Mus musculus: one gene and its partner. The protein of the gene in region 1 interacts with the protein of each later gene in a pairwise test. Links are inferred from orthologs where the notes say so. Each region holds a gene or a part of one and is shown on either strand. Other genes may lie near its edges. The genes, in order: Spdef and Nkx3-1.

Region 1 (15,932 bases):
AGCCTTTTGCTTCCTGGCCTTGGAGGACCAATGTTCTAGGGATCAAGTGGTTAGTTGCCGCCATTTCTAAACTGAATTACTGCCTCACGGCATCTCTGCTGCCTTTCTCATAGGCTGAGTCTGAAAACTCTTCATCAAATGACTAGTGAACGCAACAGATGTGTCCTGGGCTGCGTAGTCAGCCCAGCCTGCTGTGGGAAGACATTAATGTGGGTCAAGGTAAGAGGATAACCCTGAATGTCAGGTGGCTTTCCCCAAGCCCATGCTATGGGAGGTCACGTGATTACTTTTGGAGTTGGAAGGCTGCAGTGAACACTTTGGGGGCTGGAGAGAGAACTCAGCAGTTAAGAGCTCTGGCTGCTCTTGCAGAGGACCAAGGTTCAGTTCCCAGCACCCACAAGGCAGCTCACAACTGCCTATAATTCCACTTCCAGGGGAATCCAATGCCTTCTCTTCTGAAACACACACACACACACACACACACTAAAATACTTTTTAAAATTTAAAACCTATGATAGTCAGGTGTGGTGACACCTGTCTGTAATCCCAGCACTTAGGAAGGCAGAGGCAAGTGGGGCTCTATGCCTTCTGGGCCATCCCAGACTCCATGGTGAGACCCCCCCGTGATTCAGCTGACAGGACGAGAGCTGCATTCGGGGGTGATTATGTCAGGGTGCATTCAGCTCTGCTCTGGGACCTGAGAAGAAGCCAGAGCATTCTGTTTGTTGCTTCCTGAGTACGTGAAGGAGCCTGGGGACCTGGGCCAATGGACAATGCCACCTCCAGGAAGTCTTCACTGATTCCCCTGCACCACCTCCAGGAAGCCCTCACTGATTCCCCTGCACCACCTCCAGGAAGCCCTCACTGATTCCCCTGCACCACCTCCAGGAAGCCCTCACTGATTCCCCTGCACCACCTCCAGGAAGCCCTCACTGATTCCCCTGCACCACCTCCAGGAAGCCCTCACTGATTGCCCTGCACCACCTCCAGGAAGCCTCACTGACTCCCTTGGCCTGTCTTGATCTCCAAAGGAGCGAGTGGCCCTGAACTGTCACTGCTACTGCTAATTTGGTCCCGTCCTGGGATGATCCCTCTGAGTCCAGATCCTGGTCTCACTGACGTGTTCTTTATGCCTTATGAGCGTGCTGGCAATGGTCATTTAAAGGAGGGAGGGCCCGAATCCTCCTTCCCTCAGGAGGCAAGGCCCTCAAGGGTTAACCAGGAGCTGCCTGCGGTCTGAGGTAGGCAGGGAAGGAGCGTATTTGTTCAGGTAAATAAGGAAGGATTACTTATAATGGGAAAGCTGGCGGGCTAACTCTGCATCTTACCCCTGACTTCCTTCCAGCACATTCCTGCAGTCCCTCTGCCTTCCGTCCATCTGTCCGCTCTGCCTCCCACACCTAGCACCCCAGCCCGCTGCTGCCCCGGTGAGAACCCCCAGCTTGGGCCTTGTCATGGTGCCAGCAGGTGGCCCTGAGCTTCTGACAGGGGCCTGCCTATAGACCTGCAGGCCTGAGGCCTCAGACTCACACTCAAGGGGCAAGAGGCCCTGGTGGCCCACCTAAGAGCCACCTCTGTCCCCAGCCCTGCTGGCCCCACTGATGTCTGACTGAGACCCAGCAGTGACCCTGAGCTGCCTGCCCACTGCCTCCTCCTGGTCCCTGAGGTTGGCTCTGCCGAGGACGGACGACTCTTCTGACAGCAGGCGGCTAACGGGTGAGTGTGGTAGGAGCCAGCACGCCCTTCCGTGGGGTTCCCTGTCACCTGTGGGAGGCTGGTGGCTGACACAGAGTGGAGACGTGCTTTGCAAGCTTGTGTTCCCGACACCAGGAACTCTGACACTTGAGTCCTGTTCTTTCCATATGCTGCCAGATCCCTTGTTGGGTCAGATCCAGAGCCTATGGGACACCCCTTCTTTCTGGGGGCCCCATGTCCATGGGCCTGGCACAGAGCCCCTCCTACACAGGTTGAGGGGAAAATAGCCATGTGGATGTCTAGCTAGCTCCCCTGGGGCCGGGTCAGCTCTGCCCTGAAGGTGAAACCCAGGCAGACCACAGGCCACTGCCACCTGGGCTGCTCTGCCAGAGGGAAGGAGCAAGTGTCTTCTGGCTTGGCCTCCATGGACAGACAGAGGCTCACGACATGGACAAAAGCAAGAGAGACAGGTGGAGAGCCCAGGAAAGTGGCAGAGCAGGGTAGCACAGACTAGCAGTCTGGAGGGGGGGCACCACAGAGTAAACATAGGCACTGGATAAGCAAGAGGGGCCATATCTTTTGTCTGGACACACAAAGAAAACCATGTGTGTGTGAATGTGTGTGTGTATGTGTGTGTGTGAATGTGTGTATGTGTGTGAATGTGTGTATGTGTGTGTATGCATGAATGTGTATGTGTGTGAATGTGTGTGAATGTATGTATGTGTATGTATGTGTGTATGTGTGTGTTTGTATGTGTATATGTGTGTATGTGTGTGTACATGTGTTCTTGTGTATATGTGTGTATATATGTGTGTATGTATATATGTGTGTGCATATGTATGGGGTGGTGTCATGAGGCACTCAGTTCTCTTCTTTTGTCTATTTTTATTTTATTTTGGGGGGGGTGTTTATTCAGAGGATGGTCTTATTCACTATGTAGACCAGACTGGCCTCTAGCTCATTATGTAAACCAGGCTAGTCTCCAGCTCACAGATCTGCCTGACTCTGTCTTGGTTGCTGGGATTAAAGGTATATGCCATAGTGGCTGGCCTTTGAGACAGGTTGTGTGTCTCTGAGGTGTTTGAGGCCCAGCACTTAGTCTCATGGTCCATGCTGGTCTTAAATTCACATTATCCCTCACCCAGAAGGGACCATTTCTGCTTATTTGGGTCTTTAAAATCTGCATCAAGCAGGGTGTGGTGGCGCATGCCTTTAATCCCAGCACTTGGGAGGCAGAGGCAGGGAGATTTCTGAGTTCGAGGCCAGCCTGGTCTACAAAGTGAGTTCCAGGACAGCCAGGGCTACAGAGAAACCCTGTCTCGAAAAAAACAAAAAAGAACAAAACAAAACAACAACAACAAAATCTGCATTGAGAGTGTGTGTGCAGGGCTAGGGCTGTTTACGTAGAGGTTAGAGGACAGCTTGTTGCCTGGAGTCCTTCGGAGACCCACCTGCCTCTGCCCCCTGAACATGCCCAGTTGCTGTTCCTTGCTTTCTCTCATGAAGGTCCTGGGCACTGAGCGCAGGCTCAGGCTTGGTGACAACTGCCTTCACCTGCTGAGCAAAGGCACTGGCCACCAAGGCTCTCATTTCCAAGGCTTGTCAGATTCCTGTAGTGAGGAAAGATGCAAGGGGAGTGGGGAGGGACGATAGGGTGGGTGCCCCCGAGGCTGCCTGAGCTATGGGGGGGCAGGGGCAGACCTCCCTGCCTCTACTCCCAGAAGGATCCAGAAGCCCCGATACAGGCACAGCCCTCCATAGCTGACCCCTTCTCCCTGGCCGAGACAGACTCAGCTCATTTCCTGTCCCCACCCCCATCCCCAAGCAAACAGCTTCCAGACAACCCCCAATAAAGGTGCAGCACTCCATACCAGCTGTTCCCCTGAGTAACAAGGTAAACAGGCCCCAGGGATCTCCCCCCTCACCCCCCTCCCCTCAGGTAGAGGGCACAGCATGCAGGTACTGCCCAACGTGTGGACAGTTCTGGTAAGCTGAGCTTCTTCTGCCTCAGGAGGAGTACCCCATTCCGTCCCAGCGTACAGGGCTGGGAGGCTGAGGAAGGGCAGGGATGGGTCTGGGAGCCAGGCTGTGAGTTGTCCAGGTATGTTGCATGCCCAGAGATGAACACTCTGTTCATGCAAGTTTTACCTGTCACCTATGCTCCAAAGGACCTTGTGAGTCAGGTGGGACTTCCCTGTCACCCTGACCTGAAACAAAGGGGCTACACCCTATGGATGTCCAGTGGCTTCTAAGCGATAGGCCCGGCAGGAAACAGACACAGGCGAATCTATGCTGACTGGCTTACTGTGGCCTGGGCAGAACTCAGAAAGGGTCAGTTTCAGCTGGCCAGAAGACCCGAGCTGGGCCTACAGAGCAAGATGGGGTGAATTTGTAGCTCCTGGTCTGTTGAATGAGAAGGTTAGCAGAGATTGTCTCCTCAGTCGAGGGAGGCATCACAACGGGGACACGCGGGGATGAGACATTGTGGAGGAGTTGGTTGAATGCTGGTTGGATGTAACAGCTTGTTTCCTAGGCTTGTGAGGGCACACACTGAGCAGGAATCCCTGCCTCTGGCTTCCAACAGAAAGTATGGAGCTGTGGAGGAGGCCAGTAACCAGGATAGACCTGGATAGGATGGGGGAGGGGCAGGGAGCCTAGCGTCCCCCCTCAAACCTCTTTCACTTGGTCAGAACCACTGCCTTTCCCCCCTCATCCTTCCCTCCTCTCCTTTCCTCTTCTCTCTCCAGTTTCCCCCTTCACGGGTTCCCGGTGCACATTCAAGCACGCTCCGCCACTACTCTGGGAGCTGATGTCTCCGCTCAGTACTCCAGGCCCTTTGAGCCAGGCCACCCACCACAGTTTAACAAACAGCACAAACTGTCCCAGAAGAAACCTTGAGCTGCGACCAGGAGGCGGGGCTTAGCTCTGGCCTGGGACGTTCCCCTCGCCTGCCCCAGAGCCCCCACAGGCAGCTGAGCAGGTAGAACAGCTCTTCTCAGAGCAAATCCTGGCACCATAGCCCTGGGCCCTTGCTGACATTTAAAGCTCTTGGGCTCCAACCACCCGCTAGAGCTCTCCCACCGTTCATTCTGATCACTCCTGGCCAGCCAGTGACATCACCAGCAGCAGGGGCCCTGGGACAATGCTCTCCCAGCACAAAACAAAAAACCAATGAGACACCCTCCCCTGCCCCGGGCTCTTCCAAATTGGAGGCACCCCTAGCCTCCCACCCAAGGCTGAGATGTCGCAAAGGAACTTCCTAGCTGGGGTTCAGGATGTGGCTGTGACAGAGGTCAGGATGGGGGGGGTCTCTTCTCACGGGCAGCAAGAGGCCCGCCTCCCGGCCCCGCATGAGTGCACATCTCTAAGGGCACTTCCTGTCTTGGAATGGGTCTTGAGTCCCTGCCTCCTCATTCCTCCTGTCCTAGGCTCCCTGGACAGTGAGAGGCCATTGAATCCTGAGCCTGCGGTCAGATGTGGAAGGTGTGTCTGCTAGACCGGGAGTGTGGCCACATAGACCCCAAGAATTCCCTGAGTAAAGGGGCTTCCCGGGGAGGCGGGGCCTCACACACAGGAGACCAAGTGAATATGTAAACTGCAGCTTCTGGAAAGTTCTGAAAGCCAGGCAAAATTGATAGGGTGGCTATAGATTCTCGTTAAGCCCCAGGCTCACCCAGGCTGGGGGTTTGCTGGCAGTAACTGCCATCAGAGGGGAGCCTTTCAGAACCTGTGGATACAAATTCTGGGGACAATTGGAGACCCTCAGCTGTGTCTCTCCACTCACCCACTTCTCTCTCATTTGTTTTAAAAAGACAAAGTCCCGCGTAGCCCAAGCCAGCCACAGGCTACACTGGGGGGAGTAGGTGGTTGGTTGTGAAGTGAGGCTGGGACTCTGAGCACTGAATGGCCGGCAGTGAGGAGGCCTGAGTCTAGTTCTCCTGAAGACTGATGTGAGGGGTGAGGCTACTGGATCCCAGGAAGGCGGGGCCTGAAGAGATGGCGAGGAAGCTGTAACCTTGGGGCTCCCTAGAACCTAGACTGGCCTGGCTCTCTCCAAGGTGCTGACCAGCTGGTGGGTATTGGGGTGCAGGTGGAAAGGACATACCCATTCTTGCAGGGCTCTTCACCAGGTCTAGCCTTGCCCCATATTCTGTCTCTAGCCTATTTAAGGGATGCAGAGGTTGGGAGGGCTTAGGAGTAGCCAGTGGCCAAGGCCACTAGAGACTGGCAGGGGGTGGGGGTTACAGGAGCTGATTCTGTCACCCTTCCATACTTGATGTCCTTTAGTGCTACTTCCACTGGGTCTGAAGCTGGACCCTGGACTCTGGGCCACTGATATTGGGCCTCAAGATTGGGGACAGGAGCTAAGGCATTTTATATGCTACCCCACTATCCCTAGGAAGTTGGGGTCTGGAAGAAGGAACCCAATAGGATACAGAGGACGGGGCTCACAACACACGGCTGCCAGACATTTCATGAGTGCCTCATGGGCAACTTCACTCGCTGAGGATGAAGTGCTGGCTGTAAACAAAGGACACAGGAGACAAAGGTGACCCTGGAGGGAACAGAGTATCAAGAAACAGCTGTACCCAGTCTCCACCATTGGTCCCTCTGTGCTCTCTACTCACTTACCTCCCTGGGGGACAGAAGGGACTGAGAGATTGACTCCAAGCTATGAAGCCCTATCCACTAACTCTCTGATGTGGCTCTGCCCCCTGGCTTGCCCTGCACCAGCTGTTACCAAGCCTTTTGTCTGGAGAGGTAACCAGGGCTGCTGGGGCAAGAGCAAGACAGACCCCACTGAGACTTAATCCAGACATGTGGCTTTACCCCTGAGATCAGCTCGAAGTTTGGAGACCGCAGGCATCACTCGGGAGACTGCAGCCATTGGGCAGTTGAGAGGGACAGGGATGGTGGCCTGTGGCCAACACATGAGGTCCTTGAAGACCTTAGGCTCACTACAGAGTAGTGACTTCAATGTCAGGAGATCTCTGGCTAGGTCCTGGCTCTTCGGTGTGTCTCTGGGTCCTTCTCAGCCACGCCCTGAGCTTCAGCCTTACCCACGTCCTCGGAGACCCCTGGCTGATGGCTTTTTGAGGATGTAGTCAGACTAAGCTGCCAGTCACCGGTGGGTCATCAGAAAGGGAGACAGCAGAAGGGATCTTTGGGGTGGGGCTTAGGGAACCTGGGATGAGGAAGAAAGGCATCTTGGGAAAGAGGACAATAACACAAGGGAGAAAGCTGTGATTATGCCTCCCTGCAAGGAACAAGGCAAGAGATCCCAGCTTTATCAAAACCTGGATATGAGGAGACCATGCTGACTGGTAGTCCTGGTTCAAACCCTACCACTAATCACCGCATAGCTCCTATGCAAGACCGAGGATGAAACCCAGGGCTCTGTGTGTGTGCACACTGAGCGAACACTACCAACTGAGCCACATCCCAGCCCACGGACAAGGCAGGCAGTGGGAGCCATGCGTGCCAGGTTCTTGAGCAGAGGAGTCGGGTAAAAAGTTGATGAGAGGAGACAAACGTGGTAGTGCTTGGAGTGAGCAGCCAGAAGCAGAAGATGAACCTTGGAAGATGAAGGGACCCAGTCATGAGGTGGGCTAGACACCTAAAAGGAGAAAAGTGGCCAGAGCAGGTGCCTTAACAAGATGGCGGTCCAAGGAACAGAGTCTACACACAGCCAGGTTACAGTCTCCTGAGCCTGGCCATCTGCATCTCTGAGATGAGACACTCGAGTTCACGTAGCTCAGGCTGTGGGTAGCTGTCCTAGCTAGAGTTACTACTGCTATGAGGAAACACCATGACCAAAGCAACCTGGAGAGAAGTGTTTATTGGCTTCCACTTCCACCTAGCTGTTCATCAAAAAAGTCAGGACAGGAACTCAAACAGGGCAGGAACCTAGAGGCAGGAGCTGATGTAGAGGCCATGGAAGGGTGGGGCTTACCAGCTTGCTCCTCATGGCTTGCTCAGCCTGCATTCTTACAGAACCCAAGACTACCAGCCCAGGGGTGGCACCACCCACAATCAGCTGGGCCCTCCCCTATTAATCACTAGTTCAGAAAATACTCAACCAGATGTGGTGGTGATGCCTTTAGTCCCAGCACTCAGGAGGCAGAAGCAGACAGATCTCTGAGTTCGAGGTCAACCTGGTCTACGAAGAGAGTTCCAAGACAGTCAGGACTTTATACAGCGAAATCCTTTTTCTTTTCTTTTCTTTTTTTTTTTTTAAACTTTATTTATTTAATGTATGAGTGCTCTGCTGCATATGCATCCGCCCGACTGAAGAGGGCATCATATATCCCCCTATAGATGGTTGCGAGCCACCATGTGGTGGCTGAGAATTGAACTCATGACCACTGGAAGAACAGCCTGTGCTCTTAACTGCTGAGCCATCTCACCAGCCCCGAGAAACCCTGTCTTGAAATACCAAAACAAAAAACCAAAAGGAAACAGAAAACCTCTTCAGGCTACAGGCATTTTCTCACTTGAAGATTCCTCCTCTCAGTGACTTCAGCTTGTGTCAGCTCGACATGACCATCTGGCACAGTGTATGTGTGGGCATCCTGGCATGACAGAGTCTGCACTCTCTGTGACACCCTCTTCTCCTGCCCTAGTCCAGCTGCTGCTGTGAGAGACCAGAGGTGCAGCCAGCCCCCCATCCCCAGTCCAGCCACCAGGTCCCAGGGAGCAGCCTTTGTGTCTGCTGCATAGTTATTCAGTCAAGGGAGCTCTGGGCACTGGGAAGCAGAGCAAGGGGGAGCTGGGAAGGGGGACAGGTGTTTCTGCAGGGGAAGGGTCCAGAAGACTTCTTTACGTTTTGACTGCCCCATTGGTAAAATAGGGGTAAGAAGAAAGTTTGGGATGCCTTCCCTAGGGAGCGCATGGATACCAGGGCTGTGAAGCCTACTCAGCAAATGCGGTAGGGATGAAGTATTACATAGTACCTGGGCCAGCACTGGCCCAGATGGCCCCTCTTGCAACATTGCCTGGACCCCAGCACCCGTCTCCCCTCCCACCTGTGACTAAGGCCAGGCAAACATAAGGCCACAGAGAATCAAGTCCTCCTGCCTCTTGGAAAAGCTAGAGGCTGGGCATGGGGCCCAGGGAGCTGGCAGAGACTGTCCTAACGTGGCAGGCATGGGGCCATTGGGGATGTGGACGGGGCAGGAGGCCATTGTGAGGTGGAGGAGGAGGGATGGAAACTGGGGGAAGACTCTCCTTGGGTGGGGCCACCACCTGGGGTATAGGGTGTGGGCATAGGCCAGGGTGGGGACAGAACAGGCTATGGAAGCTGCCTTGGTAAATACCAAGGTCCCGTGGAGTGTGCGTGCGCGTGCACACACACACACACACACACACACATATTTGCACAAAAGGACTTGAATCAATCCAGACCCAACCCCGACCCCTGTCCACCCCACCCACCCAAACCTATTCTTCCTTGTCGCTTAGAGTTCTTTGAAAGGAAAGGCTGGACCTAGAGGCAACACATTTGGCTTTCTCTCTCCTGTGGGGCCTGCTGGGCAGCGCTGAAGGGTGGGAAAAACTGGGCACTAAGCAAGAGGAGGTGGGTGCTGAGCAAGTGTGTGTGTGTGTGTGTGTGTGTGTGTGTGTGTGTGTGTGTATGTGTGTGCGTGCGCGCACTGATCAAGGAGGGGGTGGGGACTGAGCAAGCAGTGGGTGGGGACAGCCAAAATTCACCTCAACTCTATCAAGTCTTGCTAGTCCAAGAGAACAGGAAGCTGTTTCCTGGATTGTAGGGCATTTTCCAACAGGTTAGCTGTGGCCCTTGAAAAGACACAAGGGTTTTTCCAGACTGGGCCTTTTTCCTTTGCCACACCCACCCAGGTGCCAAAAGCCAGCTACACGGTGGGTCCTACAGGGTAACTGGAGATGGGAAATGCAAGAGGCAGGAGGACCAGATCGTTCAGGCCAGCCAGTGCTACCCACATAAGACTTATAAAGGAAATGTGTGCCTCCCACCTGCCCACACGTCCACCTCATTGTCTTTTCCAGTCAGGGCCACATTCACTGCCCAGTGACCCGGAAGCCCCCTGGCCTCTCTCCAACCCATTGCCTGCTGAGTCCCGAGTCCTATAACCAGCTTAGTGGTCCCCCACAGAGCCGGGACAGCCATCAGACCTATTTTCCTTCTCTGATTTCTGCAGAAGCAGCCCCAAGCCTCCACCGCAGCATGGGCAGTGCCAGCCCAGGCCTGAGCAACGTGTCCCCCGGTTGCCTGCTACTGTTCCCAGATGTGGCACCACGAACAGGGACGGAGAAGGCAGCATCAGGAGCAATGGGCCCTGAGAAGCAGGAATGGAGTCCTAGTCCACCCGCCACCCCTGAGCAGGGCCTGTCTGCTTTCTACCTCTCTTACTTTAACATGTATCCCGACGATAGCAGCTGGGTCGCCAAAGTCCCCGAGGCCCGTGCCGGGGAGGACCACCCGGAGGAGCCCGAGCAGTGTCCCGTCATTGACAGCCAGGCCTCTGGGAGCACGTTGGATGAGCACTCGCTAGAGCAGGTGCAATCGATGGTTGTGGGCGAGGTCCTGAAAGATATTGAGACGGCCTGCAAGCTTCTGAACATCACAGCAGGTGAGACCGTCCCTGCCGCCTCCGCCCCGGGGGCCTCTGCCCGCCCAGGGATACAGGCAGGGTGGAGATCTGCTAGATGGACTCTGATCGCCTTGGATAGCCCAGGACACACAACAGCTGGAGTCAGAGGCCATGCCTAACCACGCCTGCCCCGGGGCCCTCTCTTAGTGGATAAAGGGCACTCAGTGTCTGCTCCCATCTGGCTCCCCACCTTCTCTGGGACTCAGCTCCCCTCTTCTGTCACTCACTCTATCCTAACCACGTGGTCTCCCTGCTTTTCCCATAGCGCCTGCTAGTCCTGCAATCTAGGATGCTTTCCCACACATAGATACCTATTTCGCCTTTCCCTGGCATTCTCTGGTCTGAGTTGGCAACCTGTCTGTGAGACCTCTGATCAGCTGCTGAGATTGGCTCCCACGGCTCACCTCTCGCCTCCCCCTTTTTCTTGTTCTTGTGGTATGATTGCTATCTGGAGGTCTGGGACTTGGTTTCTTCCTACCTCACTTCCTACCTAGATGGCACTGGACATAATAGATGCTCAATAAATGGCCACTGACTGACTTCACCTGCTTGGCGCCCTCCCTGCACAGGGACTGGGAGAGAAAGCAATGAACAGGACACAGGCTCTGTGTGTGGAGCTGGGACAACTGGATCATAAAGAAGCAGCTGAATGTGGCCCTCTGATGTGGTCAACTGATGAGGAAGGGACACCAAGGAATAGATGTGTGTGTGTGTGTGTATCCATGTACATTCGTGCCTGATCTGGGGGGGGGGTGTATCATGGGGTCAGAGGTGCAGGTGAAATTACTGTGGGCCAGGAAGTCCTGGCCTCCATCCTATAGTTCCCTGTGAGGAAGCCCCCCCACCCAGTCTGCTAGATGTTCCCAGGTGGTGTCCCCATTCAAGGCAGCTCCTACCCACATCTCTCCTCTACTTTCCCACACTCCAGAAGGCTCTCCCATGAGGAAGAGGCGCTTCCTCCAGCTCCAGGGTGAGGCGGGTGTGCTCTCTGAACAATGGGGACAGAAACAAATTGAATTGACCTCGGGAAGAAAGAAAATGGCCTCGAGATGTGGGAGCAGTGTAGCTTGCAGGTCACTAAGCTGGGACACTGGCTGGAACCAGACTTCACCTGGCGGCCACACTGCCACTGTGACCCAGGCTGGTTCTAGCCTTGTGCCCTGCTAGGCTCCCCTGAGAGCTTTTTCCCAGGGGCCCACATCACTGGTGACTTCCTCCTCCAGCTTTAGCTGACCCAATAACCGCTGGGGCAGCTGCTAAGAATCTAGCTATTTCCTAAGCACTGGGCAAGGATTGGACCCCCTCCTGTGTGCTCCGGTCTCTTCCTCTCTAAAATTCCAGGGCAGAGCGGTTCCTGGGTGGGTTTTCTCCTCGAGAAGTCTGTGGAAAGCAAAAGTGTCCAGCAAAAAAAGCATTTATGTTTCTGGCTGAGTGTAACTGTTCTCCTTAGAGCTGGGATCTCCGGAAAGGCCCATTAGGGGGCAGGAGAGACATGGAGATGTGATGGGTTACCAAGGCAACAAGCTTGGTTTAGGGTCTTTCCCTCTCACTTCCTTTTTGGTGGAGTGTGCCTTCATGGGCTTCTCAAGGCTTTAGACATTCCCACCCTGAGGAGTGCATGGCCCCAGGCAACAAAACCTCATGGGTGTCCCATCCCACAGACGGCCACCTTTGGGGCAGTGCCCACCAGCAGCCTTGAACTAGTGTGTATCTCTTGTCCAGACCCTGGGGACTGGAGCCCTGGTAACGTGCAGAAGTGGCTTTTATGGACAGAACACCAGTACCGGCTGCCTCCAGCAGGCAAGGCCTTCCAGGAGCTGGGCGGTAAGGAGCTGTGCGCCATGTCCGAGGAACAGTTCCGTCAGCGTGCACCCTTGGGTGGGGATGTACTGCATGCCCACCTGGACATCTGGAAGTCAGGTGAGACACGGTAAACTGGGCTAGCCTTGAATTTGCATCAGTCAGTCTGCCTCTCCCCTCCCCCCATGTGGAGCAGCATGGGAGGAGAGAAGGGACTCTCCCAGATTGTCCTGCCTTCTGACCCTGAGTCCTGGCCCCCCTGTGCTTCACACGACAGCACTGTTGCTGTCTTTGGCTGTTGATGCTGGTGATGGCTTGGGGTTTTTCTTTTGTTTTGCTTGTTTTTTTCCTCTTTGGAATTTTGGAGGATTCTGTGCTTGCTCATTGGGTCGAGGCCCTTTCCCTTAGAGGTCTGAGATGAATGGGAGACAGATGCACTCAGGTGACTCTCTGAGTGGTCAGTCTCCCGTGCCAGTGGTTATGACGTGAGCAGAAGGACTCTGTCCCTGGCTGATGGCCTAGGGGTGGGCGGAAGCAGTGGGCAGTTGGAGACCTGATGAGACTGCCAGGCCACAGATTCAAGGCTCCCTTGCCCATTTCACAGTGAGGAGCGGTCTGCCCCACAGCTGTGGGTGGGGACCTCTGCTGGGTCGCCAACCTCCCCATTTTGTTCCACAGCGGCCTGGATGAAGGAGAGGACCTCGCCTGGGACCCTTCACTACTGCGGTGAGTAGGGCCAGCGCAGGAAGGCCTGGAGGGGCTGAGGGAGGCTACCCTGAGAAGTGCGTAGTCGCAGGTGCCATACATCCTGCCCGCTCTGGCTTCCAGCCTCCACCAGCGAGGAGGGCTGGACGGATGGTGAGGTGGACTCGTCGTGCTCCGGGCAGCCCATTCACCTGTGGCAGTTCCTGAAAGAACTGCTGCTCAAGCCCCACAGCTATGGCCGCTTCATCCGCTGGCTCAACAAGGAGAAAGGTAGAATCGGCTGGGGCTCCGTTCTCCAGGGCGGGGAGGGGTTGGCAGGAGACTTGACCTTTGTTAGGAGGGATTAGAGAGAGAGAGAAGGTAGGGCCTCGGGGCCGTAGGGGCGGGGCTCTGAGTGCCGAGAGGGGAGGGGCTACTCGGAGGCGTGGTTTCCATGTGAAACGCAACGAAGGAGGGTTTCTGTAGGGCAGAAATCCAGCTAGGAGCATGAGCAGTGCTGGAGTAGGGGGCATGGGTGGACCTACAACTGAGGCTGGGTAGGAAAGTGGCGCCACCCGGAAGGGGGCACAGGGTAGGGGTGTGGCCTAGATCGACTTCACCTTCACCCTGTGCCAACTGTGCCACTCAAGAGATCCACACTCCTTCAGCACCAAGGTTTTTGAGGTTTAGGATACTGTTTGTGTCCTCCTCAGCCTCTGCGCCAGACTCTGCCCTGGTAGTGAGACTCCATCGGCCCCACACAGTACTGGAACATAGCACTGATTTAAGGTTATTAGCTGAGAGTGGGAAAACACTCCGCTTCAAGCAGGGCATAGTGGCTTTAAGGTCAGCGCTGGGGAGGCAGAGGCTGGCGGTGAATTTTATGCCACTCACCCCAGTCTACACAAAGAGACCTTGTCAAAAACAAACAAACAAACAAAAAACAGGACTGGAGAGATGTCTCGGTTGTTAGGGTATTTTTGGTCTTGCAGAGGACCAAGATTCAGTTCCCAGCACCACGTGGCTGCTAGGACTTCCTCTGACTCCAGCAGCAGAGATCTTTTGACCTGGCAAGCACCAGGCAAACACTTACAGACATGCAAACAAAACACTCATACCCATGAGATAATAAAATACATCTTTAAAAACCCCTGAAAACATCGTGTCTTGAGGGCCAGTGAGACAGCTCTATGAGGACAGACAGGCAGGCATGAAGAACTGACGTTGATTCCTGGAGGATGGAAAGGAAACGAGTCTTGCAAATTGCCCTCCGCTCTCCACATGCATGCACACCCAGGACCTATCTGCTGACATGCATTCACATAACCACGAATAAAGTAAAAGAGAATAAAAAATTAACAAGAGCTCCAACCTAAAGAATCCCATGTCCATCAGAAGTACAAATATGTGAGCCCTAATTATAAGATTAAACATTCTAGGTCTGGAGTCAAAAATGTTTAAAAACAACTGGATTTCACTTTAATGATGTAGGTTGCCTGACCTTAATCCCAATTTCTCAAACGATCCCCAATACAAACTCTTCAGAATACCATTGTAGATGTCTGGCCCAGAAAAGCTTGTCAAATATTCCCAAATCCTAAAACTCCAAACTCTGACACAGTTCTGATCCAAAATTTCAGATTAGAGATGCACAACCTGCCTTTGATATAAGACTGTACACAAGTTATAATTTCAACCAGTAAGAAAAGTAAAAATTAGCTGGGTGTGGTGGCTCACGCCTTTAATCCCACCACTTGGGAGGCAGAGGCAGGCGAATTTCTGAGTTCGAGACCAGCCTGGTTTACAGAGTGAGTTCCAGGACCGCAAGGGCTATACAGAGAAACCCTGTCCAGGAAAAAAAAAAAAAAGGAAAAATTAAATCAAATATATTTGCTAACATCAGGTGTCATGATGGCACATGCCTTTAATCCCAGCACTCCAGAACAGTCAAGGTTATGTCGAGAGACTGTGTCTTGAAAGAAAAAAGAAAGAAAGAAAGAAAGAAAGAGAGAGAGAGAAAGAAAAAAAGAAAGAAAGAAAGAGAAAAAGAAAAAGAGAGAAAGAGAGAGGGGGGAGAGAGAAAGATGAGAAAGATGAAAGAGAGAGAAAGACAGAGAGAGAGAGGAAGAAAGACGAGAGAGAAAGACAAAGAGAGAAAAAGAGAGGAAGAAAGAGAGAGAAACAGAGAGAGGGGGAGAGAGAAAGATGAGAGAGAAAGAAAGAGAGAGAAAGACGAGAGAGAGAGAGAGAAAGAAGAGAGAGAGAGAGAGAGAGAGAGAGAGAGAGAGAGAGAGGTTTGTTAAGTCCCTTGCCTGCTCCAGCATCTGTCACTTTGCTTTCCCCCAAACCAATCTGTTGATCTCCTCTCTCTTCTTCTCCTCCCACCCTCCCTCCTTCCTTCCCCCCTCCCCAGGCATCTTCAAAATTGAGGACTCAGCACAGGTGGCCCGACTGTGGGGTGTGCGCAAGAACCGGCCAGCCATGAACTATGATAAACTAAGCCGCTCCATCCGCCAGTATTACAAGAAGGGCATCATTCGTAAACCCGACATCTCTCAGCGCCTTGTCTACCAATTTGTGCATCCAGTCTGAGAGCCACAGAGACCAGAGGCCTACAACCTGCCCCAGGCAGCCACTCTCTGGTTGGCCTGGTCCTCTCTGCTCACTCTGAATTCAGGGGCTGCTGGTATCCCAGAACCCAAGGTCCCAGATAGACAGCCACTGATCTAGGGATACACATGAGCTCTCTGGGTCATACACAGGCCCCAGGAAGATCGAGGGAGCTAGGATTGTTCACAAACGGAACCGGGCTTGGACTGTGGAATTCCTGGGGGAACCACCTACAGCACACAGGGACTGGACCAAGTCAGCTCACCGGACAGTGATGTCACTGGTCTCTGCTCCTGCCACAATCCTGTACCATATCTGGCATGGTGCTAAGAGATGTCTGTACCCTGCGTTGGGAAGCCAGGGGTGCCCTGGGGATGGATAATAAAGACGTAAGATAACTGTTAGGTCCTCCAGTGTCTGGCTATGCATGGCACAGACTGGAGGCCAGCAGCAGTCAAGGGTGGCTGGGGTTCCAAGTGCTTAGGGTGGTGACCACAGGGAAGCCTACCCAGG
Region 2 (16,032 bases), on another chromosome or scaffold:
ACTACCTGTAAGAAAGTAAAATGGACATTCATTCTGCCATGCAACAAAATGGATTTCTAGGTTCTTAAAATTATAACTGCAGGCATCACTTTAGCCTTCTTTTCTTCTTCTGCTTCAGCAGAATACCTAAGGTTAGGCACTTTATAAAGGGGGGAGGGTTATTTGATCTCATGGTTTTGGAAGCCCCAAGGATATGAAGTCAGCCTTGGCTTCTTCTGAGGCATTCATTGCATGGCAAGAACATATATGAGTTGTCCCATGGAGAAATAGAAAGCAAGAGACAAGGGAGGGGCTAGGATCACTCCTTTTGGAAAACCCACTCTCTTGGGAACTAATCTACTCCCGTGAGACCTGACCTTCACTTACAAGACAGTAATAATGTATGAGTGTTGACCTCTTATGACCTAATTACTTAATTGGACCTAACCTCTTTTGTAAAAAAAAAAAAAAGCTGTCATATTTAGTTGTGTGTGCGCGTGTGTGCCTGTGCATGTGCATATGCCAGAATTTATGCATATGTGGAGGTCAGAAAACAATTTTCAGAAGTTGCTTCTCTCTTTCTGCCATGTGGGTCCCAGGGATCCAGCTTGGGTCATTAGACTTGATAGTAAGCACCTTGACCTGCTCATCCATCTATTGGCTCTGAACCCCACCTCTTAATGGATTGGTCCCTTCAAACCTGAAAGACCAGGAGCTAAGCTTTCTCAAACACAAGCTTGTGTGGGGCATACCATATCCAAACCCTAGCGTGTGTCTTATAGTTGTTCAATGAGAAGATGAGACTACTGTCCATGCCTTTCCTCTTTATTCATCAGCTCCCAGGAAGGGTCCTCCCATTATTGAATTCAATAGAAACATGGAGAGACCCATCAGATAAAGGAGTCTATCCTAGAAATTGATTGGCTGGATTTTAAACTCTGTATATTCAGCTTCATCTCTCACTCAGCACAAGCTCAGGACACAAGTGAAGAATCTACCTGGAGTCTCTGCACAGGGGAGGGGAGGCACTGTGGGAATGGGGGCTCCTTCCGTCTCCTTTGTAGACTTTGGATCAGCCTTTTCAAGGGCTACTTTGTCTGGGAAAGTCTGCAGAGGAGCCAAATGTGTGGCTAAACTAGGAGTCGTTTGTGTCCCAGGACTCTCTTGTTTATGCCCTTTCTCTTGCACAGTAAATTACTCTTGGCATTGAGAAAACATGCTTTGGTGACATGTTCCTGATGGCCATGGGCGGACCAGAGTCTGGATGTCTGAGTGTAGAGGCTATCGCTCCAAGCCCAGCAGGATCTACCTGACACTGAGTTCACTAGTGTGAAGAGTGTCAGAGACGGTGGTGGCCCTGAGTGACCAGCAAAAGTGGATTCCATGGTGTACAACAACGTCTTCCCAGATGGAGCCAATGTACTCTTGACCGGCTGCTGAGGAGACTGCCAATCCATATGTGACCAATGTGACAATGATTGGTCACAGTGTCCCTCATTGGTTCCTTGCTGTATTCACAAAGAAACTGCATTGTTCGAGGTTCCTCCCCACTTCAGGATGCAGCTGATGCTGAGGTCAAATGTCCCATCCTACTCTTTTCAAAAAGAGACACCGTGGCTTTAGAGCTTCGACTCAGAGTTTTTCTCCTCAGCCCTGCCAGCCTTGCTTTCTTCCTGGTACATCTGCCAAGACCCTCAGGGTCTCCACGAACAATTCTCCATCACAGGGCTTGTTTCCAGGCCACCCAAGCTAGGGGACCTCCCTATAGATGCTTTTTATCCCAAGTTTGCTTCACTGTTCATGGCATTAGTATCATCCCAAGAAAAAGGGATTTGATGTGTGTAGTTAAGAAGAAAATAAATCTTGTTGGCGTCTGACACATATTCAACTTTTTGGCCACAAAAGGCTTCTAAGGGATGCCTAGGAGCCTGTGGATGAGAAATTTCCACAGGAAGTAGACCAAAAGGCAGGTTGACAATGTATTTCAAGTAGCATGACTATGTGGCATGCCAAAGGAACTAACTTCTGGAGAGAAGGCTGTGAGATTATCAGATATTAGGAAATGTTGGAAACAGGACAAAAAAAAAAAGGCAAAGGGGATTTTCTTTAAAGATAGGAGACTTTTGTTTAATTTCCTGGATTACTTTTAAATGGTTTACTTTTTCAAAAAGGACATCTGTTAATTTGCAGCAAGAGGCTTTGTAATTGGAGAGCTAATACCCTTCCCTGGGACAGGAGGGTGGCTGTAGATTTGTGCAAATTAAACCTCATGCTTCTTGCCTGCTACAAGAAGCCCCACCTGTGTGTGCGATGTACTTAAAAGATTAGGGCACACTTTGAAATTATGGTATGGATTGCCTGAAGTAGGCACCTTCCCCTTTAAGCTTTTATTTCCTTGAAGGAGGGGCAGAGACCACCAGCTCTCACAGGCCATCAGACCCAGGAGGCACTTACTTTGTGTGGTTTTAGGAAGGCTTAAATGCTGGGGATGAGGTGTGCAGTTTATGTGTATTAGTTCTGTAATACGACTTATCCTCAACACTTGTGGTCCCATTTCAGATGAGCTTGGGCACGTTCAGGGTGGGTGGGCAGGCTGTAGACTAGCGATCCCATGTCAGGGACATCGCTTACATGAAGCTAATGGGACTCTGGACACAGGTGACACGTTTAGGAGTGAGGGAGCCAGGGATTATAAGAAAAGGGACGTTTTGAAAACTGCTGTGATCATCCTGTTCCCTCAGGGTCACTACATACGTGAACAGTCTTCAGTTACACGCGAGGTATTCCAACACGGGTGCAGGTGATGAGTTATAACTTTGAGACAGGCTCTCATGCTGTCAGGTTGGTCTGAAACTCACTGTGTAGCCAAAGAATATGGCTTTGAACTTCTCATCCTCCTGCCTCCGCCTTCTGAGTGCTGGGATGACAGGGACAGCAACACCACTGCTGTGGGTGGAAGTTTAATACAGGCAGACCTGTTTTTTTCCCTCTCCTTGATTTACCAGAATGGCAGGAGAGGTCACTGCGAAAAGAAACCCTCTTGGCTACTTGCTGAATTGTTGCTTTGATTGATTTGTGTCTGTAACTTGTCAGGCCAGCCAAGTGTCCTGTGGGAACATGGCCACCGTGAAAAATGCAAGCTAAAAAGAAAACCCATTTGCAAGAATCTGAAAACCACACGCAGGTGTCTAATAAAGACATAGAGGCTTTATTTTAAAACACTCATAGGTTGCAAAAAAAAAAAAAACCCGTAGAAAAATAAAGTTTTGAGTGGAGTACTATACTAAATGCCAAGTGACAGACTTTTCTGTTAGAGCCGGGGTTTGCTAACTGATTGACGAAACAGGACAGAGATATGTCACCCAGGTGATACCCACAGCGATACCTTTCCCATTCACAGGCTGGAGACAACAGGCCACGTTTCTACCAGTTCAGGTGTGGGTGAATGGGTAGTTCCAGTATGGAGAAAGCAAAATTGAGTCAGACTTCCCCAACATAATTTTAAACACAAGCCTTTCCCTTTCTGACTTTGCCACACACTGCACACTATAATAGTTCAAACGTAGTGAAAGTGCACGCTGAAAAAGATTCTAGTCAGAGTGAGAGGAGAGAAAGTACTGATAGGGAACTCAGAGCCAAAAGACGGATAGAAAGAAGAGAACTGGACTCCTCCGGCTTTGGTATGGTCTAACGCTACCACAGTGGTCAGCAACAAGGGACACGGAACAATACTTTAACATGGGGACCCGGGCTGTCAAAGAACAGGGTGCAAGCCGCCAGCTTTCTATCAACTTCCTTTGGCAGTTTTGCCACCAACAGTAAATTGGCCCATTTAAAAGGAGGAAATTAAAAGATTTCTCACTGTATAGCACTGAGTGGTGGGATAAAGGGATTTCCTGGCCCCAGAAAGTCTCATTTGTTATAAGTGTGCTCTACCTCCTTTATCTCCCATTCGGCAGGTTACCTGAGATATCAGGATGGAAAAGGGAAGGTCAACCAATTCTCTTTTTCACTCCTACCACTTTAGGGTAGTTCCTAAGCATAGTTCTCCAAAGCATTTGCGCGTGCATGCGCGCGCGCACACACACACACACACATCTGTGGATGGAAGCCTCGGTGAGGTTGTATTTTGAAGACAGTTTACCTCTCCTTGCTGGTTAGCTTGGGCTGACAGCAGGACCCCTCCATCTCCCCCAGATCCCTCAGCAGTGCCAGCCCTTCCTTTTGTCCTGTTCTTCCTTACACATGAAAAACAAGCACCCCTAAACCACCTCTGCCTACAGGGATCCCCAGGACCCCAATGGGCATCAGCCTTTGAACTGTAACACAGAGCTAGCACACAGCCCTGCGAAAGAACCTGTCATCTTCAGCTCTCATGTCTTTAAATAGGGCTTGGGATTTAATGCTGAGTATTTTTAAAGGAAAGAGAGAGAGGAGTTGCTAGGTTTTTTTTCTCTCTCTAAAGTATGTCATATTTTTAAAGGGAAGAGATGAGTTGCTCATTTTTTTCTTTTAAAAGTATGTCATAATCTGTCTGTAGCTAGTTAAGTTGTTAAACCAAGAAAGGTAAACCTTGGGAGGAGGTGGGAGCAAATCTTACACGAAATAAGACAGGCACAGATGAAAAGCATGAACGGAGAGGTCCTGTAGGAAAGAACAAGAAATAAAAAGGAGGGTTGGAAGGTCCTTTGTTTAAAACTAATGGCACCTCTGTCATCACAAAGTGTGAATTTTCAGGCCAGGGAAGCTGCAGGCCCTCCTGAGTCTAAGCAGGAAGGGCAGGAGAGTCCTTTTCTTCCCTGCTAATATAAAGTCCTGATGGAAGCCGCTCACCTGGCGTGTGGAAACCCCATAGGCCCATGTCTTGGAGAGGAAGTCTGTTTTGCAGCCCACCCCTGCAGGCAAACTGTTTACACAGCTTGTCTTAACCCCCTCCGCGTGTGTACCCTGCCACACTCAGGCTGCCCTGTAAATCCTTGGACTGGCACATCACTGTGAAAAGGGTAAGTTGAAAATTCCACCTTCCACCCCCTTCACGTTCTATGCCAACCTGCCTCAATCACTAAGGGTCACCCCCTCCCACCCCCATTCTTCAAATCTTCCGTTTACCCTCATTTTTACAAGGGCAGAGAGAAACTCTGGCCAGAGTCCAAGGCCAACAGGAGACCCAAGTTTAACTCAAGAGGAAATCCTCATCTAAGGGGCCATCCCTCCCCTTGCTTGGCCCTTCCATGATACTCAGTCATGGGAGAGGATGGAGTTGCCACAACAGAATTCCTAGGAACGATATAGCCATTGCATCTGTAGCCATTCTAAGTTCTGGAAACAAGACTCAAACTTGCCTGGCTCTCTCTAAACAGGGGAGCGGGCAGCAGTCACCTACAGGACACTTGGAACTGGGACTACATCTTCAAATAGTCACTGCCCCAGATCTTTCACCTGCCCACCAGAGAAGAATTGGAGTGTTCCCTGGGAACCCCCAACAGTTTGCATCTGTACATTTCTTGCTTCCGACTCCTTGACATCAGCCACTGTGGCTTTTTCCCAGAGACCCCCAGGGAAGACAGTTTCTGATATATGCAGTTATCAGCAGAACTGTTGCTACCAGAAAGATGGATGCCAGCTGCCCAGACAGTACAGGTAGGGGTAGTAGGGATAGCTAGTATACACGGAGACCAAGGAGGTACTGGGCAGGCTGTCATCTTTCAGGGCTGGCAAAGACAATGGTGAGTTCTTCTCCAAGACTCCCAGGTCTTCCGACAGCTGCTTTCGCTTGGTCTTATAGCGTCTGTTCTGGAACCATATTTTGACTTGGGTTTCGGTGAGTTTGAGGTTCTTGGCCAGGTGAGCCCTCTCAGGGGCAGACAGGTACTTCTGATGGCTGAACTTCCTCTCCAACTCAATCACCTGAGTGTGAGAGAAGGCGGCCCGGGAGCGCTTCTGTGGCTGCTTGGTGACCTGGGGGGCACTTGCTAAGTCCCCTGGATTATGTTCACAGTCCAAAAGATAAGTCTCAAAATGTGCATCTGGAGAAGAACAGAAGGAGAGAGGAAAAGTTACATGTTAGCTCAGAATTCAAACCACCTTTTTGTTTTCTGCTAGTGAACAAAAAGCCCACTGTCATCTGGATACTTTCACTTTGTTTGCAAGACTAAGAAACTACCCTGAAGAAGTGAGCAGGCTTTTTTTATACTATGTATTTGTTTCTAATAATCAGTGTGAACTACATTCAGGTCTTAGCGGTTTACAGTTGATCTTTCTGCCTTGTTGTTTTACATCAGTGAAATGTGGATCCTGGATGTGTGTTGCAAAGAGAGGTGGGTAAGGTGCCAACAGGGAAGACGGAGGCATCGTAGGGACATTGAAGTGGGTGACTGAGATTTGTGGAGATGAGCCAGGTGGCCTGGGATGGTAACCAGTTCATCTCCTGCCCTAGTCCTCTTCCTGTAACTGTGGCTTAGTCACCAGCATGAAAAGTGGTTGGGGCCGGAGGATAAAATTGGACGCGATTCTATTTCTAAAGACTTAAAAGAACATCCATAATTTTATGGCTCGTGGAATGGAGACGAAGGGAACTTAAGAGTGGGCTTGATTTATGAATATTAATGGTTATCGTTAGTTCTAGTAGCCAGTGGTAAATGTCTGCAGCCGCTGGAAAAGAGTCAAGTCGATGGCAAAGTTATTAGTTGCTCTCAGGGTTGATGCTCAAGGTGGCTCGGTGGGGCGGACAGCGAGGTCCTTTCTGTGGCCATGCCCCCACCCCCAACCTCAGGATTCCTGCATCCAGAGCTCGGGGCCATTAGCCCAAGAGCGGTCCTTTCCTGTGCATGGTGCTCGCTTGGTCTACTCCGCTTACCAGACTCGGGTTCAGTCGGTGTCTCCGCGGGGCTATGCCGGATACTTGGTGGGTCCTCCGGAGCCACGCCGCGACCCCCTGCTTTGTCGGGCTCTGGAGCGGAGTCCCTCCTAGGGTCCGGCGAGTGCTGCGGATTGCCTGAGTGTCCCCCGTGCCGCTCCGCGCGGTCCCGCAGGATGTCCTGGATGAGGAAGGAGGTGAGCCGCTTGGACTGCGTGGGTGGCGCTGCCCAAGGACTGCGGCCACCCGCCTCCACCCGTGGCTCTCGGGGCTCCGCTACCCTAAGCATCCCTCCTCCGCTGCGCGCCGCTTTTGCTATCACCGGGCCGCGCGCACTTATAGCCATGCTGAGCGCCGCGCCGCCTGCCCATTGGCCGCGGGGACACGGCTGCTCCCCGATTGGCTGCCGCGGGCTCCAGGTGACCCTCAAGGGGCGAGTCCTGGGCGGATTAGGCTCCAGAGCCCTTCCCTGATGAGCCCTTAACCTTTCCTGGTTTCCCTCTCAAGCCCTTTGCCAGAGAAGCCACAAACGCCAAATTCTTACTGGAATCAGAACTGAGCAGGCAGGTCGCTTCCACCTACCCTAATTGTGTTCAGATAGTAAGAGAGACTGATAACAAAGCCAGATCTACCGAGTCTAAGTTGATCCTAGGTCTGACAATCATGCTCATTATGGTCCCACGCTGGACTCCCAGCTGGACACATCTAGACAACCAGCAGAAGTCTATTAGGGAAGGTCCAAGTAGTATGACAGTGTCTCGTTTACTGAGTTGACCAGGTAGTGTAACACCAGGAAAGAGTATTCTTAAGAAATAAACACTCGCTGGGCAGTGGTGGCGCATGCCTTTAATCCCAGCACTTGGGAGGCAGAGGCAGGTGGATTTCTGAGTCAGCCTGGTCTACAGAGTGAGTTCCAGGACAGCCAGGGCTACACAGAGAAACCCTGTTGAAAGAACGAAAGAAAGAGAGAGAGAGAGAGAGAGAGAGAGAGAGAGAGAGAGAGAGAGAGAGAGAGAGAAGGAAAGAAAGAAAGAAAAGATAAATAAACACTCAAGCTGTGTGTGGGTGACATTTCTTTAATCCCAGTGAAGAGGGGCAGAAGTAGGTGGATTTCTGTGAGTTTGAGGCCAGCCTGGTCTATATAGGGATTTCTTGGACAGCCAGGTCTACATAATGAGGCCCGGTCTTAAACTAACTAACTAACTAACTAACTAACTAACTAACAACTAAACAACTGACAGCACACATGCACAAACCAAACTAATAAAAGAAATGAACACTCTAGCCCAGGCTCCCCATGTCTGTCACTTAAATATCACATGGTTCAGAACAATGCTTTGGATTGCTAAATACGATCTATCTGATCAAAGGAATGTGCTAGAATACAACATTTGGTGGAAACCGAGGAAAGCCTACGCTGATTTTTTTTTTTTAATTAATGGATGCAATTAGAGTCTGTTGTGGTCTAAGGCACCAGGACTCAACTGGAATCTGCTCTGCAGGGAACCTTGTATTTCTGGGGAGAAAGAAAGGGGGGCAGGCCCTTGAGAATACAGCAACTTCGGAGGGAAACTGGGATGGATAACCGGAAGGCCTTCAGAAAAGCTCTCTTCTGCATGTTACCTGGACTTATTTTCCTTTAAAATTTAAATATACATTTTTGATATAGTTACAGGTTCATTGGGAATTGCAAAAATAGCAACTCCAATGTCCCTCATTGTAGTATGTATGTATGTATGTATGTATGTATGTATGTATGCATATAGTGTGTGTGGGGAGTCTTCCTCCAAGGCCCACACATAAATGCCGTTCCCTGCTGAGGTAGTTTGGAGAAGTTTTGGACCTATAAGGGCTGAAGCCTAATGAGAGGTCCTCAAATTGTTGAGGACATAGAGATTGTAGCGCCCCAATTTTCCCCCCTCTCCTGGCCCTGGTGTATGGATTTTCCCACCAGCCTGTGCTCCTCTCATGTTGCACTGCACCCCCCATTAGGCCCCCTAATTTTGGACTTGAAGCTCTAGACTCATAAACTAAAGCAAACATCATTTTACTTAACCAGTCTGTGGCTGGTTCTTGGTGGGAATAACAGATTTAATGCAAGTCTCCTTTCTCTACCCAGTGGTGCAGTGGCTATGCCAGACCACGGGTGATGGGTAGTTCCTTTGGATAACTAACTTGGTCAGAGGATTAGTGAGGCTTACCTGTGGGTGTGCCTGTGAGTGTTTCCAGAGAAGGTTCACTGGGGCAGGCGGGGGCAGGCATCTGCCTTAAATGGGTAGTTTCATTTCAAGGGGGAGAAAGCAAACTGAGTACTGGTGTATCCCCATGTTTCTTGGCTGACTGAAACGACTGACTGAGACGTGACTATACGACTGACTGAGACGTGACTATACAGTCCTGTGCTCCTCTCAAGATGGCAGACTATACCCTCAAACCACCGGCCAAGGTAAACCCTTCCTTCCCTAAATTAATTCTGTTGGATATTTGGTCACAATGGTCAGGAATTAAAAAAAAAAGATAGCTGAGACAAGAGATGCAGAGTGACAGGCCTAGCCGCTCTTCTGTGTGACTGTACTGCTGTTTCCACAGGCAACGAGTGTCAGATATCTGAAACCTTATTAGCCCTGGCCATTCTCTTTATTTCAGCCACTAACATTGGTACAGTGCTATTTCAGTTTGGCTTTAGTTTTTTGAGTTTGCACTTGACTGTTAATGATGTTGATTTTGGCCGGGCACAGGTCTTCATTGATGAGACAGTCCTAGTCTCAAAATAAATCCCAGAGGGCTCAAAGATGTAGATGCAAACAGGCACACAGGAGAATTTCTTTTTAAAAAAAAATCAGGCTCGTGAAAGAAATGCAAATCAAGGGGCTTGAGGGATAGCTCAGTGGAACTAGAGCTCAATTCCCAGGATCAAGCATTACAACTGCCTGAAGTACCAGCCTCAGGGCATCTGATGCCTGACCTCTGACCTCTGCAGGCACAGATATGCAAACACACACATATTTTTAAAAGTAAATAGCATTTTTTAAAAAGAGAAGAAATGCAAATCAAAGCCACATTGAGATACTCCTTTTTTTAAATGTATTTATTTTTTATTAGATACTTTCTTTACTTAACATTTCAAATATTATCCCTTTTCTAGTTTCCCCTCCGAAAATTCCCTATCCCTCCTCCCCCTTTCCCCCTGCTCCTCAACTTACCACTCCTGCTTCCTGGCCCTGGCATTCCCCCACACTGGGGCAGAGAACCTTGGATAGTCATTTCTATGCATCAGATTGGGAAAGATTTTCTTAAGGTGCCATCCAAACAGTGAGTAACTGCTGTGGGCGGAAAATAGGCCGATTTACATATTTGGTCGGTATCTGTTTACATTAAAAATGGACATATCCTTCAACCCAGCTAGTTTGGCTTCTGCCCTGGAAACTCATAAATATACAATGTACTGACTTGGGAACCTGGTTTTGGTCACAGACTGGTTCCAGTTGCAAACTGAGCTGTAGAATCAACTGCGCGTGTAAAAGGGTGACCACAAGTGGTCCGTATCATTTGCACGCAGACATGCACATATATGTATTCAGTAGGACAGTGGTGTCTGCTCAGTGAGGTGGAGGCAGGCTGAGAGAAGGGAAGGAGGGGAGGCTAACAGGATCTATTTGTTTGCATTCATGTGTGGTTCTTAAAAATTATAAATCTAGGGTAGGAGAGATGGCTAAGTGGTCAAGAGTGTTCGCACTGCCAGGCATAGTCATGGACAAGATTCTAGCTAATAGGAATTGGCCAGCCCGGGGGGTGGGGGTGGGGGTGGGGGTGCATTCCTCCACTGGAGAGCTCTAAGATGTTAAACTATTATAAAACAAAAAATTCTCTTTAGTAAGATGGCTAAGTAGATAAAGGTATTTGTTGCCCAAGCCTGCTGACCTAGGTTGGGTCCTTGGAATCTACATAAAAGTGGAAGGGAAGAATTGCCTCCACAGAATTGCCCTCTGACCTCCACACACGCATGCTGAGTGCCACGCGCCATCACGGCTGATGACATCACTTTCTCGGTGTCTGCCTCCCTCCCTGTTACAATACCTCTCAAGAGGACTTTCTAGATTTGGTCTCCTGTGCATACATCATGGTGGGGTGTTTTCTGTGGAGATCCTTTGCCAGTCCAGAGACTAGATAAGACAAAGAAGGGAGTGGGGGTCCCGGGAGAGAGGACGAGTCACAGGAAGCACTTGCTATCTGTACCAAAGAGGATCCAGGCTGCCACTGCTGCCTGAGAGATGCCCCGCCCCCACCCTCCGCACTCAGCCACTTCTTTTCTCCTCCTTCTCTGTTCTTCATAAGAGTTTCACCGTGCTGTCTTCTTTTCTCTTTTTGTATCCCTACTTCAGACCTTTGTTCTAGTCCCCAGTCCCCACTGAGAGAGGATGTGCTGCGATGTTTCTGTCAGCAGAGACACCCCCCCCTCCGCTGCCCCATCTTCCTCAGCATCAAAACAAAACTCCAGGCACAGTGTCAGGCCCTTGACTTTCACAGCCTGGGATGGGGCAGAGAACATGTTCTCTGGTTTCTTGGGTGCTCAGCAATATGGCGTTGAGACTTGTCCCTTTGCTCTTTGGGGGAGGGGGTTGACCTGGAATACTAAGTTTTGGGGTCTGTGTCTACTACGTTCTTGTGTATATTCTATTACATCAGCAGGCAAAGCCCAAGACCCCAAGATTAAGGCGCTGCACCTGCTCTGACTTCTTGCTTATTCATAACAAGGCAGACAGTACAATAGAGATGTAAGGAGGGAAAGAGGGAGGGATAGAAGCTGCAGCCAAGCTTATCCAATCAGGAACCCATTTTCCCACCAATCATATTAGCCCATCCCTGAGGGGCTTCTAGAACCTTCAAAATCTTCTAAGATTCCCAATTATTCCTATCGTTACCACGGCAATGACCTTTCAACATGAGGACTTAAGGGGGCATCTAAACCATGGTATCTTGAGAGGACAGAGATACCACCCTGGCCCTTTACAGCACGCTGCCGGTCTCAGGATCCTGGACCCTGTCAGACTGTAGATTTCTCCTCAGCCAGCCTAGGTGGGCATTACAAGTCTTCACATCTTGCAAGGTCCCAAGCAGTACCTGGTGCTGCAGCAGGGCACCCGCACCTCTAAGGGGTGGGTGCTAAGATCCCTGAACAGCCTGCAGGGGGGACTCTGTCTATAAGGAGTAGTGAGGTGAGATCCCTGAGCAGGTCTGTGAGGGAGCGAGGGTGTGATGTGATTGGGGTGGTGGCTATAGTAACCCCAGATCTCCAGACATGTCTTGAAACTCCACATGTCCCTCATGCCTGAAGCTCTAGCTTCACCCAGAAAGCAGCCAGGCTTCCTATCCCACACCTGCTCCAAGGCTCCTCTCCCTCTATCCCAAGGCTCTGTGAACCTCCGAGCATCGGGTACTGGGACTGTTCCCACCAGCTTTCCCCTGGGCCTCTCTGTATGGCCCTGGGGATCAGGCTTTGGAGAACCTTGGTGGGTAGCCTTATGATTCGCCTCATCTTGTTCACACTTAGCACCCAAGAATAGCCACGGAGATTCATTTAGCAGTGGGAGCTCAGTAGTATTTTGCTATTAATACAATAGTGCCCCGGTGACCAACCACCCTTTCTCCCCCTCCACAGCTGCTGGGCCTGTGTCTGCAGAAGTGTCCCTATCCTCTGACTGGGTGGCCGGACATGATCTGTTGAACAGCTTAGCAGAGACCCTCACCTGGGAGACACATTGGGGATGTTTGTCTAGAGGAGGGGCCTCTGACCTTCTCCCTGCTCTGGCTAGCCCTGGCAATTCGATACCACCCCTCTGCCACTGTCTTGTTCTGAGAATCTCCAATGACGCTGAGGAGGTTGTGAGAGCCTTGCTTACCCTACAGTGATGGTAATGATCATCAGAGGGCAGGTGGCCAACTAAGAAGGTGGCAGAGGGGGTTCTTAGAGATGGCACCGGGAAATGGGACGATGACACGACACTGCTTGGTTCAGCAGAAAGTTCTATCTGCTTTGAACTAGACCAGACCTACGGAATCTGTGGGGCTGTCCCAAAATAAAACTATTTCATCTTAGTACTGAGTCATCCAATAGATATCTCCCCAGATTCTATTTTGAATAACACAGCCTTGGTTCATAAGACAGGTGTGGAAACTGCCAGCCATGAGCCGGTATTGTGACTGAGTGGAGGCCTGACATTCCCAGTGATGATGGTGAGACCGGCTGGGCTGGGCTGGGCTGGTGTTTGGACAGCTTGGAAGGGAAGTGGCCACCCATGTTGGGGTTGGATAGAAGGGCAGATCCTCAGGACCACCCTGTAGCAGTGTCCAGGTCCTGTAATGTCTTAGGACAGAGGACACCTTGCATTCTGGTCATGTGTTTATCCAGGGCCCGTTTCCCCATGGGAAGCTGGAGAGAGGATTGAGTCAGAGAGCAAGCTGAGAGGCAGGGTATAAACAGGAAGTGTGCCATAGTCCCACTTACACACACACACACACACACACACACACACACACACACACACACACGAGAGAGAGAGAGACAGAGAGAGAGACAGAGAGAGAGACAGAGAGAGAGACAGAGAGAGACAGAGACAGAGAAAGACTTAGATATGAGCCTTAAGGCATCATATTGGAAGTAGGGAAACTGAGGTCTCAAGAGACTTTCCTGAAATCGCATACCAGTGACAAAGTCAGAACTTTGGCCACCAGTGCACAGGCTAGTTTTCTTTCTTTCTTTTAAAACACTCTTTTGTTTTGTTGTTTGTTTTTAGTTTTTGTTTTTCTCTTTGCTGAGTTTTCATTTTGTTTTGTTTTGTTTTGTTTTGTTTTGTTTTGTTTTGTTTTTGAGACAGTATCGCATAAACCCAGCTTGTCTTTGAATTTGCTCTGTAGCTGACTGTGACTGATCCTTGTCTCTGCTTCCAGAGTGCTGGGTTACAGGCAAGAACCATCACACCTACCTTAAATGCTCTCCAAAGGGAGGGAGGGAAAAGAGGAGGGGTAGCAAGTAGGACAGAAAAGGCAAAGATTGTTGCTATTATTTAATTCCTTTTTACTTTTCTAAGGGAGAGATAAGTAAACTTTTGGGCTGGATAGATGGTGCAGTGGTTAAGAATGCTTGCCTTTCTTCCAGAGGACCTGAGTTCAGTTCCCAGGCAACAATGTGCAGCTCCTAACTGCCTGAAACTCCAGCTGCAAGGGATCTGGCCTCAGAGGACAGACAGACAGACAGGCACACACACACACACACACACACACACACACACACACACACAAAGAAGTAAAATGTTGCTATCTCAGCTAAAGTATTCTTGACAGAATTTAATATTTTTAAGTGTCTATGAGTGTGTGTGTGTGTGTGTAACAGAGAGAGACAGACAGAGGGACAGAGAGACAGATAGAGGGTACAGAGAGACAGACAGAGAGAAAGACAGAGAGGTTGCACACATACCGTGGCATGTGTGTGGAGATCAGAGAGAACTCTTCAAACCTAAGATTGAAGTCAGGTCATCCTGTTTGAGAGGGAGGGAACCTATGTTCTCCACTGGTGCCTTGTGGGTGTGGTTTAAAATGTTCTCCTACGTGTGGGAAGGCTGGTGTCCAGCGTGGCAGTGGCAGGGAGAGGTTGGTAGGTTGTTGAGAGGTGGCAGGTCCCTGGGACTCAAAACAGGGAACACTGGTCTCATGGAGTTTGCTCCTGGGAGAAGGCTGTGAAAGAACAACTGACACACACACACACACACACACACACACACACATTCACACATACTCACACCATACACATACTCATACACACACACTCACACCATACACACATACACACACACACACACACACACACACACACACACACACACACACCCTCACCCTCACCTGCACACACACACACATTCAAGGCTGGCTTCTGCCTCACCATAGGCTCCTACCATGTGCCCATCAATCTCATGATGCAGCCTGGGGCAGGGCCTGAGAGAGCGCTTGCTAGAGCAAAGAGAGATACCCGATCTTGGATTTTTAACTTTTAAAAATGTAAGCTTAGTGAACTTCTTTTTACACCATTCAGTGTAAGGCATTTTGAAACTGCAACCAAGAGACCCAACAATTCACCTGCTTCTTGGTGAAAGAGCTAAGCCAAACTCAACACTCAATGATATCCACTCTCCAAGGCATCCTAAACTCCGGGAAAGAGAGGCACTTCTGAGTCCAGAACAGTTCAAACAGGAAGGACCTCACAGGAAGACGGTCCTCCCTTGAAGTGAGTTTGAGTCTGGACAAGAGAAAAATAGAAGGGTATAGCCGAGTTGTGCTGATACACACCTGCCTCTAATCCTTGGAGGCAGGGCAGGCTGATCTCTGAGTTTGAGGCCAGCCTGGTCCGAACAGTGTGTTCTGTTCAGAGTCCTTTTCAAAATAGTATCATTTTGCTGGGTTTGGTGGAGCCTGCCTGCCATCTCAGCATTCAAGAGGCTGAGACAGGAGGAGGTTCAAGAGTTCAAGAGCAGCATGGACCACTGTCTCAAAACAAGGATCCCCACAGCAGACACAAAGAAGAACCAGAAACAGTTACATCTTAGAATAACTGTGTACTCTTTGCCCTGAACAGAAGACCTGCAAACAAGGTTAGTGGGTTTATAGTCTAGCCTGACACATTTGTAAGGGTGGCCTTAGGTAAAGTCTCAGCCTCCCTACTTTCTTCACCTCATCAAGGATGCTTTGCCTTGCATGACAATTAAGTCTGACATCAGTGGGTGCTCAGCCCTGTTTAGCACTTAGTGTTTTCCTAGGAACTTTTGTGCCTCTGGGGTTCTGTCTTCTGGTCACACTTAGCCATCAGGAAATGGGTGGACTTCACCTGACTGAGAAGAAACAAGGAACACTGCTAACAGCCAAACCTGGAGGCTTTGGCAAAGAGGTTCAAGGATTGTGGAGCAGACCTCCGCCCGCAGGAGAAAAATGGAAGCAATGGCGTCCCCTGGTGGTCACTTGAAGTTCTGCAAGCAATAACAATTGCCTCGCGTTCAAAGCATGTTGACTTCATATGTGAAACTTCCACAGAGGTTTGTGAGATTGATTCTCAACACAGACTGCCTCTGAACGCGGACCCGAGTCTCATGGGCAACTGTGATGTTTTGTATATGTCAGACATTTTAAAGAGTCGGGAAATTCCTTATTTA

Evidence for each region.
Region 2: the proteins of Spdef (region 1) and Nkx3-1 interact in a two-hybrid assay, tested with the Homo sapiens proteins (2 studies listed by BioGRID). The link is inferred for Mus musculus from reciprocal best matches to the Homo sapiens genes SPDEF and NKX3-1.

What each region holds. Positions count from the first base shown.
Region 1 is NC_000083.6:27,714,337-27,730,268, reverse strand, and holds Spdef (SAM pointed domain-containing Ets transcription factor), read left to right. Parts: upstream 1-1,317; 5' UTR 1,318-1,716; intron 1,717-3,638; exon of another isoform or gene 3,639-3,681; intron 3,682-9,872; 5' UTR 9,873-9,898; coding exon 9,899-10,304; intron 10,305-12,047; coding exon 12,048-12,245; intron 12,246-12,803; coding exon 12,804-12,851; intron 12,852-12,953; coding exon 12,954-13,100; intron 13,101-15,222; coding exon 15,223-15,401; 3' UTR 15,402-15,822; downstream 15,823-15,932. UniProt on the Homo sapiens protein: May function as an androgen-independent transactivator of the prostate-specific antigen (PSA) promoter. Binds to 5'-GGAT-3' DNA sequences. May play a role in the regulation of the prostate gland and/or prostate cancer development.
Region 2 is NC_000080.6:69,181,797-69,197,828, reverse strand, and holds Nkx3-1 (homeobox protein Nkx-3.1), read right to left. Parts: upstream 7,138-16,032; 5' UTR 7,125-7,137; coding exon 6,836-7,124; intron 6,006-6,835; coding exon 5,581-6,005; 3' UTR 3,171-5,580; downstream 1-3,170.